2 linked regions of the Lepisosteus oculatus genome follow. The protein of the gene in region 1 interacts with the protein of each later gene in a biochemical or structural test. Links are inferred from orthologs where the notes say so. Each region holds a gene or a part of one and is shown on either strand. Other genes may lie near its edges.

What was found.
Region 2: the proteins of xaf1 (region 1) and rnf114 form a complex in vitro, tested with the Homo sapiens proteins (2 studies listed by BioGRID). The link is inferred for Lepisosteus oculatus from reciprocal best matches to the Homo sapiens genes XAF1 and RNF114.

What each region holds. Positions count from the first base shown.
Region 1 is NC_090721.1:10,834,814-10,842,820, reverse strand, and holds the start of xaf1 (XIAP-associated factor 1), read left to right. Parts: upstream 1-5,003; 5' UTR 5,004-5,057; coding exon 5,058-5,098; intron 5,099-6,105; coding exon 6,106-6,241; intron 6,242-8,007. UniProt on the Homo sapiens protein: Seems to function as a negative regulator of members of the IAP (inhibitor of apoptosis protein) family. Inhibits anti-caspase activity of BIRC4. Induces cleavage and inactivation of BIRC4 independent of caspase activation.
Region 2 is NC_090711.1:6,397,680-6,405,379, forward strand, and holds the start of rnf114 (E3 ubiquitin-protein ligase RNF114), read left to right. Parts: upstream 1-4,696; 5' UTR 4,697-4,802; coding exon 4,803-4,939; intron 4,940-7,421; coding exon 7,422-7,572; intron 7,573-7,700. Other genes in the region: spata2 (spermatogenesis-associated protein 2), read right to left, coding at 496-813. UniProt on the Homo sapiens protein: E3 ubiquitin-protein ligase that promotes the ubiquitination of various substrates. In turn, participates in the regulation of many biological processes including cell cycle, apoptosis, osteoclastogenesis as well as innate or adaptive immunity.

The DNA.
Region 1 (8,007 bases):
GCTGCCCACCGGGCTCTGAGAGGCTCTGAGTGTGCTTCACAATGCCCCAGACAGCTCTCAGAGTCGGAATTGCTGGCACCCCACAGCAGAAGAGGCAGGTCATCAACTCTTTAAATGCTTCCTAATGACCTCTTCACTCCTGCCTGGAGCTGTGAAACGCAGTCTCATTAAAACACCAACGCGCCCACTGACAGCACTGTTTTGAACGTTAGGGACATTCAGCTCTGAAGGTACCCCGACGCTCTGTTTAATGACAATGATCTCTGATTGAACTTGAACAGAGAGGGATTCCTGCTGGAAAAGAAATCAGCTTGGCATCACAAGATACTAAAAATCCCAGGCAGAACTGTGGAGGGTGCAGTCGGTAGGTAGGTACAGTAGGTCCCTTTTCAGGCCTTCAAGGCCCTTGGGGAATGGGTGGCAAGGGCCACCATTTTTCTTTGACCACTGGAGGTGGAGGTGAGGTGGTCAGCATCACACTCTGGCCGGCCTGTCACCCCCAGAAGGATTAACCCCCAGTACTCACTTGGAAAGCAGGCTGAGTGGACCTGGGAGTCATCTGGAAGGAATCAGAGCAAGCTCTATCACTTGCCCCTACCTGGGATTGAACACAGGTACCCACCTTCCGGACAGGAGCTAGACACCCTTGCCATCTCAGCTACCACAGCTCCCCTGACTCTGTATTCTCTCTGTTTTCTGTTTGCCCTGTTTTTACTGCAGAGGGCAGGGCATCATCTGATGTAGCGCAGCTGTGATGTAAGTTGACGTGAGTGTGGCTGTGATGTCATTGATGTAGCGCAGCTGTGATGTAAGTTGACGTGAGTGTGGCTGTGATGTCATTGATGTAGCACAGCTGTGATGTAAGTTGACGTGAGTGTGGCTGTGATGTCATTGATGTAGCGCAGCTGTGATGTAAGTTGACGTGAGTGTGGCTGTGATGTCATTGATGTAGCGCAGCTGTGATGTAAGTTGACGTGAGTGTGGCTGTGATGTCATTAATGTAGCGCAGCTGTGATGTACTGTAAGTTGATGTGAGTGCAGCAGTGATGTAATTAATGTAATTGATGTTCAATAGCATCTGGCATTTAGAACAGTATTTCTGAATCTCTCTCTATATCCACAGGCAAGGTCTTGCAAACCTTGATTTAAACTGCAAACTGAATGTTATCTTGTGTCACTCATTACAAGAACCCGTTAGCCAATGTGCTATAGCACAGATAAATCAGATGATTTATAGATGAAAACTTAGAATTCAACCATCTGCTAATGTCATAGACGTGCATATAAGACAGAAAAACATTATTTTGTTTTCCCAAACCCCAGACCACATTGCTGTATTTGCGACTAGTAGTGAAATGTGTATCTGGTAAATTTTCGCAGTAGCCTCTTGTAGAGTCAAACGCTGCCACCAAGTGGTGAAATACTGGAACTGCGCGACGGCCGAGCCGGGCTTATTCAGACGCGCCAATTCATATGGAATGGAATTAACAATGTTTTAGAAAAAAGTCCCATGTGGAGGAGGAATGGGAATAAAGAAAGGAAATAGCAACAGCTAACAATTCCAAGAGAAAGTATTAGTAAATATATCCTTTTAATTTGAAAACCTGCGTCCTCCAATCATCATACGTTTTTTTACGTTCCAGTGTGCAAGCGCTTGTTGAGTGTGACATCTGGAAAGGTGGCGAATCCTAGGACACGCAGAATCCCTGATCGGAGCCTTGGGAAGCAGCAGGCTCTCTCCGGGCTCAGAGGGCGGTACGCCAGGCCCACTTCCTGCTTCGCCAGCCCGGGTGCCAGGCAGGCACACCTGCCCTCCAGATCGGTTTCAACACGGCACAGCTCAGCCAGATAATAATAATAATAATAACAATAATAACTGCTTACACTTATATAGCGCTTTTCTGGACACTCCACTCAAAGCTCTTTACAGGTAATGGGGATCCCCTCCACCACCACCAGTGTGCAGCCCCACCTGGATGATGCACCAGTCCTCTCCCCACACACCAGCTCTCAGTGGGGAGGAGAGCAGAGTGATGAAGCCAGTTCAGAGATGGGGATTATTAGGAGACCATGATTGATAAAGGCCAATGGGAAATTTGGCCAGGACACCAGGGTAACACCCCTACTCTTTTCGAGAAACGCCCTGGGATTTTTAATGACCACAGAGAGTCAGGACCTCGGTTTTACGTCTCATCTGAAGGACGGCGCCTGTTTACAGTATAGTGTCCCCGTCACTATTCTGGGGCATTAGGACCCACATGAGCCGCAGAGTGAGCACCCCCTGCTGGCCCCACTAACACCTCTTCCAGCAGCAACCTTAGTTTTTCCCAGGAGTCTCCCCTCCAGGTACTGACCAGGCTCACACCTGCTGAGCTTCATTGGGTTGCCAGGTGTGAGTTGCAGGGTGATATGGCTCCTGGCCATATAAAACTATGCCCCCTGCTGCTGAAGGTACGAACCACAGACACCCAGAGCTTGAACCAGACAGTTCTCCCGGGACAGAGCCACCGAACACAAGACGGGACCCAAACAAGAGGGGGGCCTGACCTGTCCAGCCGTTTCCTGAAAGAAGTCAGGCTGGCACCTGGATCCAGACCTTTCCTGACCTGCGGCTTCTTGCTGTCTCTGCCTGGCGAAAGGCCTCCACTCACCTCTGTTCAAACATGAGCGCCAACTTCCCTGCAGCGCTGCCATCGACACAGCCGGTCTCCGGCACATACCCGCTTAAAAAAGGACGTTTTCCGATGCATTCCGATTAGCCCTTTTCCCCCCGCAGCGATTTGTTAATGTGATATTAAAATGAGACCGACACGCTCCAATACAAAACACACTTCTGTGACACAGCACCTCAACGACTGGAGGGATCCTGTCTTTCAGAACCTCACCGGCCCTCCTGGATGGACAGATGTTTCGAACGTCCGAGTGTCCAGCCTGTCAGCAAAACATCCTCATTGCTGTTACTGTCTATGACACCGGCAGGCCCTTTCTTCCTGCCCTTAACGCCGCGACGGGAGGAATTGACCGGCTGCTAAAATAAATCATTTGACCCGCCAAACGTGCGCCCACGTAAGAACCGAACTTGGCAGCTTTCCCAGGAAATGCTCGTCCCGAGCAGGACGCCTTTCTGACACGAGTCGGAAAACTTCCTGCATGATCTCCCCCCCCCCCCGCCCCCCAGCGATCCAGCGAGGAGAGAGCGGAGAGCCGAATCCGCAGTGCCTCCCCCCCCCCACCACCCAGAGACAGCAGACATCTGATAGTACACAGAGAGGTGCTGGCAGACCAAGACTCCCCTCAGTCACAGACTCTGCAGGACCCACTCACCATCTCACCAGCTCCCATCGCGCCTCTGACGGCGGCTTCTTCGCTGCCATCTCTCTCCGCTGCGGCGCCCGGGAGAGTGCCCTCAGATGGCCCTGCCTGTCTCCAGCTCGGCTGCGGGCAGCGGAGAGGGAGGGAGTGTGCGCTGAGACCAGTGGGAGGGGGGGTGGGTGTGGAGTGATGCTGCAGATTCCCACAGTCAGCGCTTCAGCACTGAACCCAGTGCCAGAGCAGCAGCTGGCACAGTCGGCATCCTCACCAGCCGGGCGGGAAGAAGAGGGTCCCAAGAGGGTCCCCAGGGCCCAAGACAGACCCAGGCCAGCGGCACAGCTACAGTGAGCCCTGGTTCGTGGGCTAGACGCCACAGTCGGGACCCTCCTGAAGCTGTAAGGACTCTCAACATGCTCCAGCCCGCACACAACTGCTCAGCGTCCTGCGTGAGCAGCTCCTGAGGCCTACAGAGGGACCCTATGATCCAGGCGCTGCTGGTTCGAGGCTGGGCCTACGACATGAGCCAGGGAGCGGCTGAGGGACAGCGAGCAGGGTGGGGGTCACAGGGGGCGCCTGGCCGAGAGTCGCCCCTCGAGTCAGCGCTCGGCCCCCGGGAGCAAGGTGAGCTGGACACTCATCGCCTGCTCTGACTGCACCCCCCCGAATGAGAGAGCCAGCTCCCCGAATCTGTCCCTGACTTGGAAGCCTCTGCAGCTCATTGAGGGAGCAGTCTCTTCTCAGGCAGCCCCCCTCTTGACAAACACCGCACTCACCCGCAGAACATGGCACTGAACGAGCTCAGTTCACTGCCTCCACTGTGTCATTAATCATAATAATAATAATGGTAATAGCACCCCCAGGTAATGGGGATCCCCTCCACCACCACCAGTGTGCGGCCCCACCTGGATGATGCACCAGTACTCTCCCAACACACCAGCTCTCAGTGGGGAGGAGAGCAGAGTGATGAAGCCAGTTCAGAGATGGGGATTATTAGGAGGCTGTGATTGGTAAGGGTCAGGGGGAAATTAGGCCAGGAGTCTGGGGTAACACCCCTACTCTTTTCGAGAAACGCCCTGGGATTCATTCAAACGACAACACCTTTTTTCCGCAGTATAGCGTCCCTGTCACTATACTGGGGCATCAGGACCCACACAGACCGCAGGGTGAGCGCCCCCTGCTGGCCACACTAACGCCTCTTCCAGCAGAAACCTTAGTTTTTCCCAGGAGGTCTCCCATCCAGGCACTGACCAGGCTCACACCTGCGTATCCTCAGTGGGGTGACAGCTGTGAGTTGCAGGGCGATAGTATGGCTGCTGGCATTATTCACAAGCAATCCTTTATATAAAAAATTGATAAAGAAATAAGCTCATTTTAGATTCATGTTGCACAGTAAATAAAATGGTCTATAACTTTTCAGATTGCATGAGCTTAACATGAGCAAAGCTTTGAGAGAAGAGTAAGTCTATTTTATTGTGAATGACCAGCGGTTCTGCTTGTGATTCTCTTTCGAAACAAGAGCAAGATGGAAATGTTTCAAAATAATACTTCAGAGGTTATTTTCTAGGGATAATAAGGAAAATTGTATGCACAGACAGTCACTTGAGAGATTCTAGGCTGACATGCTAGACTCAGCCTCTTACTGTTAACAGGAAATCAGTTTGTGAGCGTTTCAGCCTGCTGAAATATTCAGTGGTTTCAGTTTCTGTTCCAGAGAAGTGAAAGAGAAACAGTCGAGCTGTGCAGACATGGAGGAGCACACGGGGGACAGCAGGCTCTGCAGGAACTGGTGAGATCCACTGACTTCTCAACACTTTGACACCGTCTCACAGCTGCAGGCCAGGCCGAGACGCCTGCGTGGGGCCAGGTCTCTCTTGGAGCGGTCAGGAGTTCAGGGGAGGGGCTGGGGAGACGCTGCTGGAGGCGAGGCAGTGTTGGAGAGGGGCGAAGGCTCTGTGAGAAGGCATCGCTCTGGGCTCAGTGGAGAGAACAAGCTTCGCTCTCCGGTGTGGGGGGCGAGCTGGCGCTCGTCTCTCAGCGCTGGGAGACAAAACTGGATCTGAGTGCGGGGGGGTCGAGTCGGGTCGGGGGGGGAGCCTAGGATTGGGAAAGTTTTCATCTTGCTCCACTCTGTAACAGTAACAGAATCGGCAACCTGACGTACAGACAGCTCCCAGTACCGAAGCTTCGAGTTCGGGAAAGCTCAGGAGCAGCTGGCTGGGGGAGGTTTATACAGTTTTAGGAGCACCTATTGAAAAACAAGTGTTATGGAGTACAGAATGGCAAAATTCCTGTTTCCCTGTGGCAGTCAAAGAGGGAATGATCTTCCGAGAGTGCACGATTTGGCAGCGCTAGGGGAACGAGAGCTCTATTGCACTCCTGCTCCCCTGTCAGAGTTTCAGCTGTGAGTGAAAATGTAAGAGCTGCTTACAGAGTGTGTCTTGGGTGGGGCGCACAGTGCATGCTGTGCTCCACTGGTGCATGAAAAGTCTCTGGACAGAAAGAAATGATTGTGCTCTCAGCCGCAGGCCACCTTGTGCAGGATGCAGGGCCTGACACAGATGCTTGTATAGAAGGCCAAAATTGATATCAGGGACTGGCAGAGCCAGGAGAAAAGGGAACAACTACGTCAATATGAAATCTGTTTTGGTGCTGCCAATCCATTAGCAAAAGCATATTCTGCGTGTGATGGGTCTATGGTGATAAGGAACTCTGTGCTCAGTAACCAGTTGTCAGACTTTTTAACCCCTTCACCACCCCACCCCCTCTCTCCTCTGCCCCCTTGGTCCTGTGCAGTAAGAAGGAGGTGGCCGTGTCTAACTTCGCCCTGCACGAGTCCCACTGCAAGCGCTTCCTGTGCGTGTGCCCATTCTGCGATGAGCCAGTGCCCAGGGAGCAGATGGACCAACATCGGGACACCGAGCACAAGCAGGTCAGAGAAGGGGAGGCTGCAAAACCTGCACCGCACACCAGGGGGCAGTCAAATCACCACTGAAGGCTATAATAATAATAATAATAAGAATAATTGCTTACACTTATATAGCGCTTTTCTGGACACTCCACTCAAAGCGCTTTACAGGTAATGGGGATCCCCTCCACCACCACCAATGTGCAGCATCCACCTGGATGATGCGACGGCAGCCATAGTGTGCCAGAACGCTCACCACACATCAGCTATCAGTGGGGAGGAGAGCAGAGTAATGTAGTCAATTCATAGAAGGGGATTATTAGGAGGCCATGATTGGTAAGGGCCAATGGGAAATTTGGCCAGGACACCGGGGTTACACCCCTACTCTTTTCAAGAAGCGCCCTGGGATTTTTAATGACCACAGAGAGTCAGGACCTCGGTTTTACGTCTCATCCGAAGGACGGCGCCTGTTTACAGTATAGTGTCCCCATCACTATACTGGGGCATTAGGACCCACATGGACCACAGGGTGAGCGCCCCCTGCTGGCCCCACTAACACCTCTTCCAGCAGCAACCTTAGTTTTTCCCAGGAGGTCTCCCATCCAGGTACTGACCAGGCTCACACCTGCTTAGCTTCAGTGGGTTGCTAGTTGTGAGTTGCAGGGTGATATGGCTGCTATAAACCTGCACATGTGCTGTAACAGGTGTCCCCTCCTGGACTGACATGATATATATATATACACTCTTCCAACCTCCACATATCAAAACACATCAATACATATAAATATCTAAAATACACATCTTAAATATTAAATACACATAACACATGAATATTTAATCACATGTTAAATGAAATGTTAAGGCAACAATCTTCAGTTCAGGAATTTAAGGTTGAAATAGTTTAGAGAGGAAAATAAGTTTGCAGGCTCCACAGGTCTGAGTAGCATTTAGCTAGTGTCTACAGACTCACCAACTGGAACTGCAGAGCAGGAGGATTCAGGGCCCGAATCCTAGCTCGGTTACACATACCCTCTACAGCTGTGACCCACTGCGTGGAGTCACTGGGATGGTGCTCTATACTGAGCAGCAGCTTCAGCTGACAAGATTCCTACAGATACCTATATCCTGGCACTGTAGCCAGAGGACAGCGTGTAGGTAACTCTCTACAACAGCACCCATCAGTCTTGTACAATACAGTATATTCACTGCAGAACAAGAGCCCGATGAGGCATTCCTGTGCAAGGCTGTTTTGCGTGCCTTTCAGGAGGGCCTGGGGCAGCCCAGCCCTTGTCCGAGTGGGTGTTCAGTTTCTGTCCCACTGTGGGAGAGCTCTGACAGGTGCCAGTGAGGCGCCCATCAGAGGGGCACTTCTCTGCTGCCATGCGGTTTGCTGTGAGCCCAGGAGCAAGCAATCAGACTGGCGCATCAGCTTGGCCAAACCAACACACACTAGAAGCTCAGGACAGAAGTGAAAGCAGGATGTATTGTTCCATCCGGCTTGCGCTTCCTGTTATGTCATTCGCGCCACGCCCCCCGGAGGACTCATCGCGCTCAATCAACTCCCTCACATTCCAGTGCAGTCTCTAATTAAATAATCAGACACACCCTCTCCCACCTGTCTACTTAAACCAGCCTGACACACCACGCTTGTTAATGTGTGTCTCTAGTTTTACAGATTCTGACCTTGGCTTGCTTACTGTGTCTACCAGAACATTTCCGTTCAGAGGATAGGGTCCTTAGACACGAGATCATTACACTGCCCAGTTCAACTCCTAGTGAGCTTCCTCGCG
Region 2 (7,700 bases), on another chromosome or scaffold:
AAAATATAATTTCTTCACAGATAGTTTTACTTTGCTAACCTGAATATGCATTCAATTTCGTTTTAGATAAGATACTGTTTGAAACCTACAATTCATGCATGCACATTTTGTAACCGCTTTAAACCATCTAAATGGTTTTAAACAATTTCAATTGCTCAAAACATCTAAAAATCTGGCTTTAAAGCTATAAAGCCTTGATCTTGATCTTAATTTTATTAAGCAAATTTGCTTCAGTGAAACTTTTTCTACTATGTATTTGATTTGTTCTACAATTCCATGATCTAACCACAGCTGTCCAACCTGATCTCATTAAGCTAGAATAAAAACAAGCAAGAGACTGACAGTTGCTAACTTTGGGGTTCAATGATGATTTGTAGGTTTCTAAATGGCTTCATCCAGAAATGAAGCCTGAACTATATAACAGAAAACTAGAAAAGCATCACTATCCGTTCACTCGCCATGCTGCTGGGCACCTTGTCTTCTGGCATCACGTACCTTAATGCTGCGGAACTCTTTTTTCCAGGGGTACAGCAGCAGGTTGGTACAGATGGTCTCCAGGGTGGCAAAAGCCGTCTCTAAGGCCTGCAGGCTGGAGCTCCTCAGGGTGCGTAGGGCGTTTTCCGCCACCTCATAGAACCGAACGAGCCGGAACCGCTGAGCTGGATCCACTTGGTAGACACTGAGTAGAGCCGTGGCAGCCGCATGGAGCCCAGTCTCAACCGCCACCTGCTGCCCATCGCCTCCTTCCTCCAGTCTGGACTCCAGGCACTGCACATACCTCTTGAACAGGTCCTCTCGCAGCTTGGGATCCATTTGGAGCAGCAGGCTGGGTCACTGCCTGACTCGCATAATCACCCCCTGCTTCAAAGACTCTCCAAGACAGCTGGGAGAAGGCCTGCTCAGACACGCTGCTGCGTCACAAGTTGCATGGTAGCCACATTTCTTCTGTTCAGCAGGAGATGCTGCACCTTGAATTTCCCATGGGGATCTTGGACTTGGAACGTCCCGGGCTGTTTCACTCATGAATAAGCAGTGAAACGGGAAGCGGAGTGCACGTTCACATTGTGTGAAGCAGGTTATCTGAATCCAGAAATCCAAGCTCCGGAGGCTATGCCAAGTAAACCCCGTCTTCAGTGCAAAGTATGGGAATAACAGGCCGCTGAGGGATGACCGACCAGGCTAACCATCCGCACGATTCCCCGGGCTGCAAGACAGAAGAAAAACATGCCTAAAGAAACTACTTAAAGAGATTTTTTTTATTAATGTAACAGCCAGTTAGGATTCAATCAACATGTCAGGTTCTGCCTGATCTCAAGCACATTTTACTCAGCTGCTATAAACTGCTTGACTATACATGAAAGTACTGATTTATTTACAAGCAAGCATTCCCTGCACACTGTTGAATACACACACTGGTAACGGCAAGGATGGACACATTTCGGCTAGTATTTTTGTTTATAGAATATCTTGAACACACATTTTTTCAAGGGTTCCACCGCAGCAATATTAAAAAAAAAAAACCCAACACCTGGGATTAATGCAGATCTGCAACATGTCCGCCTTTCACACTGAGAATTTGTTACTGGCAGAAACTCTGTAATGGAGGAGGCAAATCTAAATGGTTCCGCAGGTGTGAAAGTGTGTGTACACTGTGTAAATCAAGCCTAGATAAGAGCCCACGACAACACATTTTCTGGAAAGTACTGTAAATCTTAGAATAGGTCAGCGACATTACAGAGCAAGGAAAAATCTTACAAAGATTTTATAGAGGCACATTTTGTAAACGTTGGCAGATACAGAACAACAATTACAGGACAGGAAAAACATGGAACTTGTTTTTTTGTTGAAAGACTCATGGCTTTTTAAATCTGCTGTTTCCAGATTTTGTGGATTTAAAATACACCTCATAGAGGTGTTCCTGATGAGCACTGTTACTGAAAACATGAAGTGGTATAATAAAGTTAAAACTTTTAATCTTTTTCAGATAAAAAGTCCATTGGTACCATTGTATTAAAGCACAATGTATTTATAACCATCTCCTTAAGCATAAAGTGTTTTTCACTTTTCTAACTATAAACCCCCTGATGTCACCTTAAGTGCTAGAATAATTTACAAAAGCCATCACAATATTTTGAATCCCAAGGAACATATTGTCTTTAAAACATAAACACATAACCAATGTGCAAATATCTCCTGCTTCTTTTAAGACATGCACAACAAACCTCAAACTACAACTGATGTCAATGTTTCAGGATGCATCCCAGTACTATAGCGAGCAAGGCAGAAATCGTTTGAATGACTGCGAGCATCACATCAGCCACTACGGCTGTTTTTTGCTAACGTTTAGTGCTGTATCCTTGCACATAACAAAACGGGGCTTTGCGGGATGAATTTGAAAGGGCAATCCGAGAAACATCCACAAAAGGTCAGTAAGGGTTGTGTGATACCTACTGTGATGCTCCAGGTTTCACTCCAACTGGGCTGCCCACTGCCAGGGCTGGGTAAGCTAAGGACCCTTGTCCATAAAAAGACCGTTCACATTGAAATTCTTCAAAAAGGGGACCTCTGCTGTTTCGGACTCCCTGCACATTCTTAAGTCCAAAAAAAGCAAAGGATTGTGTGCAGGACCTGGAGGCTGGTCGCAATACGTGCATCGCCTCTCCACCACACAACGTGTAGGCGTCGGAGACGCCTTCTGTAAAGGCCACGGGCGGAAGAACTGAGCATTTCCCTCGTGTCAGACTTTACTAGGGCTGTATAAGGCTCCACACTAATCATGTCCTTTGCATGGGTGTTTGATTCCAAATATCTAGTTTCTACGCGTGAATTTTCAAAATTTACTTCAGCCTCGCTTATTGGTTGAAACAGTCCAAACCTTTACTAGAAAATTTGGGGTGTATGAAACTAGCCTATCGCCTTAACAATCAAGCAGATACGATTCTGCAATTGCAGGCTGTCGCTGTTTAACTGGATCGGTTTCAGGGAGCCGAGATAATTATCTGAGCCCATCAACCTGGCACATTTTATTAATATTTTTAGGCCGTTGAAAATCTCATCCAAGATGTGCGATACTGCGTGTGTGTGTGTGTGGAAATGTCTCCAATTCTGGCGAGCGTCAGTGGATGTGCATGCAATCCGTCCACGGAGCGAGTACACACCCCCAGCCCACTGAATCGCGGATATGACTTTCTCACTCGCCCAACGAGCGGAGCACAGTAACGCTAAAAAATGCAGAAAAATTCATAGCTAACAGATGTAAAACGAAACATCTTGGGGGAGAAAAACGTCACCTTTAGATAATTCCCGAACACGAAAAAAAAATCTGATTTATTTTATACATGTTTTTTTCTATTCAAGGAAGCCAATAAGACTGGTTCCGGTTTTCCACTACACGCACACCCTCTTCCTTACTGTCGTCTAGAATGATGACGCCTGACCCATCAAACATCATTTTTACACGGAGGCAAAGATCATTTCTTGACTTGTCAGTTACTCGGACTCGGCCCCCATCAACAGAGTGGTTACAGCCGCCTCAGTGAATCTACATACACAGATTATAAAACAACGCCTTGAAACCCTAATGCGTACAACCAGCAACCAGTCCCTGCGCCCGCATGGGCAGAACTGCGTTTTGGCAGTCACAAGTCAAACAGACGCACTGAGAAATGCTTCATTTTAAACCAGCCGAGCTGTTTTTAAAAGACGCCACCATACTCTCCCCACTCCTTACCTTCGCATTCTGCTGGAAATCCCCACCGTCTCTCTGCGCATGCGTTACGTAGCTTACGCCACTCCACGTGCGCGTGAACTCAAAACCAGGCGCCGGGTATGCGCGCTATACAGAACAACTTTCTAAATAAAATGTTTATATACACCCCGACAAGGGTCGCGGCAACCCGGGATCTATCACAGAAAAAGAGGTCTGCTTCCTCTGGTCCCCAACCCGGATCCCGAGATTAGAATATCCTTCATCCCTCAAAGCATAGTGTTTCATTATAAACATTACCTGGTATTGAGCATTTGCTTAAAAAGAGTGCCTAATCTTTAAATAACAGGTACTTTTGGCTGATCTATATGAATAATTGGATTGGGTCTTTCCAGGACCAGGGCTGAAGACCCCTGATTTAGAGACAGTAGTTAACCCAGCCAAGGAAACCCACAAAGACATTGAACATTCAAACTCCACAGAGACAGAAACCTACAGTAGGTCATAAATGTGTGATTCCCAATGGAAGGAAACCACACTTAGTTACTGTATCTCCACACCATGATGCCTCCCAAACATTTATCAATTAAGATAAAAACAGAACGTTAACATTTTAGGAAGCATTGAGCATGCATGTTCAAAGTGATATTAACTTTCAAAAGCCGTCAATGAGAGTTTCAGGGAAACTGTCTTATATATACAGTATCTAGATGTTGAGAATTTCCCTAGAACAGAAGTACTGGCTGACGGTTTTGAGTTTAAAAGGCCATCCATAAAAAAAATGAAAATTCTAAATAAGATCATGTGTTCTCCTTAAGATATACAGTAATTACTCCTGCAGTATCTCCTTGAAAACAACTATTTTCATGAAATGGCAAAATATGTATATGCCCAGAAATGAACCTTAATCGAGGTGTTAACCCTGGCCAGGTATGGTCAAGAGCTACAATTTCCGCTTTGTCTTCACTTCGCCCATGTCCTAGGCAGCCGCTATGTAGTTTGCTGTATTCGCCCCTCCTACAGCAGGTTCAGAGCTGACGCGATATTCGTGGCATCTTACACGGAAAAGACAGGAACAGGAGCGGCTGTGCGAGAAATGGCGATGTTTGGGGGCTTAGATACTGTTCTTAAGAAGAAAACCACGGAGGATGGCGAGAGAGATATGCCAGAATTCGTGTGCCCAGTGTGTCTAGAGATTTTTGACCGGCCTGTTACAACACAGTGTGGGCATACGTGAGTCTCAATACATGGTCGTTTTTTTAAAAATATTTGTTTATATGGGTGGAGATATATCCACAGCCCATTTTTTTCTGTTTTTAGTTTTAGTTCTGTCATTTGCTTTAGTCTCCTAACCGTGATAATAAAACAGTGCCTGCAAAGTAAATGTATATATACATCTAACATTAGTTTTCATGTTTTGAAACAGGATTCAAAGCTTTAACATGCTCAATTGTCATTTTATTTAGTATTTTCAGGCTGTATGTTAGAATGATGAACGCTTGTACTTTCACTTTTGTTTACATCTAAGGAGTGTGCTGCATTGTGGGATATGTATTTTTTGTAGCGCTGTCAATGGTTTAAATGTTAGGGTGTTGTATTTGCAGTCGGACTACAAATCACAGAAACCCCCGTTACTTTAGGGTAATTTATTTTTAGATTTCGTCCTAAAAGAAAGTGTTTAAGGTTTCTTTTCAGCTTCCAGACAGCTTCATTTTTGTGGCGCGATAAACGCATAAATCGAGTGGTAGTGATTACATACAAAAATGTTGTTAGAATTTTAACTTTTTAAATAAAAATCTTTGGTTTATACAAATGTTCTCAACTTTATAAGTCTCATTTGTTTTTTTTATAGACCATCGCGATTTAACAATTCTCATCGGGCGTTAAAGAGATGTTAGGGTTATTTTTTTAAATTTTACGATGTCTTTAATTTCTGTACATAATTATTTACTTCAAAGCTCGCTCTGTTAACAGTTCCAAACATTTTACACTCGACAGATAACCAGGAATTCGTAATACCTGTGGTGCATGTTTTTCTCACTAATTGCACCCATAAGTGCAGACTCCCAAGTTCCACGTTTTTTTTAGGAATGAAGAAGGCCTTAGTTACAGATATTTCGTAATAGTCAAGTACGAGTATGTAGCTACGGATTCATCTGTTACGAGAAAAAACAAGTGAGTTATAGCTACTGTATCTACAGAAAGCTGGGACATTACTATAGAAACCTTCAAGTATTTGTTGTAAAATTAACAAAAAGGAATATATGAGAGCGTAGGCTACTTGCCCTGTCCCTCACAAATTCAGAGGTCTACTTGTTAGTGCTTACGAATGAGAATAGTCGTTCTCATTATCTAAAAAAAAATGGGTCAAGAAATTAGGACTCTGAAACGGTTACTGTAATGCTATGGGGGGTGTTAACGACGATTCCTGGCTTGTTTTAAACGGAAAAATAACCGTTCATGATTACGTTTTAATTCAAAGAATGATAAGTTCTGAAATGTAACAGACTGCATTTCTTGTATAGGCCTACATTTTTTAATTTTTAGATGTTTCCTTTTGGGAATGAGGAGAAGAAAACTGACCTGACTTTATAATGCCTTCTAATGATATAAAAACCCCATAATCTCCTAGGGGATTAAATCGAAACACAAGGCAACATTGTACCACAGCCACTGCAATGGCTAATATCCACAATTCCCTCTGTTCTGGCACTCACTTGGTTGCTCATAGCGGATCTGGAATCTCTTTGCTAAGTACTCTTGAAAGCCAAATCCAGAACTTTTTTCCCCCCACTGTGACTCAATTAATGCTCAGCTGAGCTTTTTTTATAATAATGCAGGAAGTCATGTGATGAACCAAATATCAGACTAGACGAGCTGGTACCTACAATGCAAGCTTCATGATAAGGTGATTCATGACCATGGGGGAAAAAACACAGCCAACAACAGGGTATCCCCTAATTAATAATGTCATACATTTAAAAAAAAAGTCAGCTGTCTGAAAAAAATAGTTCTGCTCTGCTTTTATAATTGAGTAAAAGGATACATTTATGATTTTTAAACTCACTAGTTGCTTATCCTTTAGGCAAACTGGTATCAGATTGAAATAGAGAGAATGAAGAAGTGCTCTTATACATGCACTGTAAAATAAAAGTATTAGCTGAAGCTTCCAGGGGTAAATTATTGTATTATACCCTTTGCTATCTAAATCAAATTTAACAAGGATATACTGTGATATAGTTTTATTAGGAATTTGTGTCGGCAGAGAGTCGATAAGAGCAAAACTCGGGAATAGACCAGACTGATGTATCTACTTGTTTATGTGCGATTAAAAATGTTTTTTTACACTTGAAATCTGTAGCCCACCCTTTTTTGCATTGCTGATTTTGCCCTGCACATATTGTACTCTGCATATCCAGTTAATGGTATTGCACATTGTGATGTATGATTGTCTATACTATCTATATAAATCTATACTTGGACCGTAATCACTACTGCTCGACACCTGCACTTGTCTGTTCCTGAGCATTATGTTATTTTTGCCAATATACTGCATATGCTGAAGTTGTCATTTACTAGGTTTTTGTTTGCTTTAGTGTGTTATCTGTTTTGTTCGTCCACCTTTTGCCAGTGATTTTAAGCAACTGTGTGACACACTGGATAAGCCCCACCATAAAACCGAGGCTTAAGAAAGGGGTCTGCTTTTTTCCCAAAGGTTCTGCAGCAGCTGCTTGCAGGAATGCCTGCGCCCCCAGAAGCCTGTGTGTGCAGTTTGCCGGACTGCTCTCAGCAAGTGGTCCAATGCTGTAGAACTGGAAGCAATCATTCATAGTTCGCTGGGAGCCTGCAAAGGCTGTCACACAGAGGTGAGCATTGTACTATCCTCTGGTGTTGAGGGAGAGAGGTCATACTGATGAAGGGGTATCGGCAACACTTAGGAACAGTGTATGCTTGATAACATGAGCCATTTTGTATTGATGTGTTTGTTCTGCGC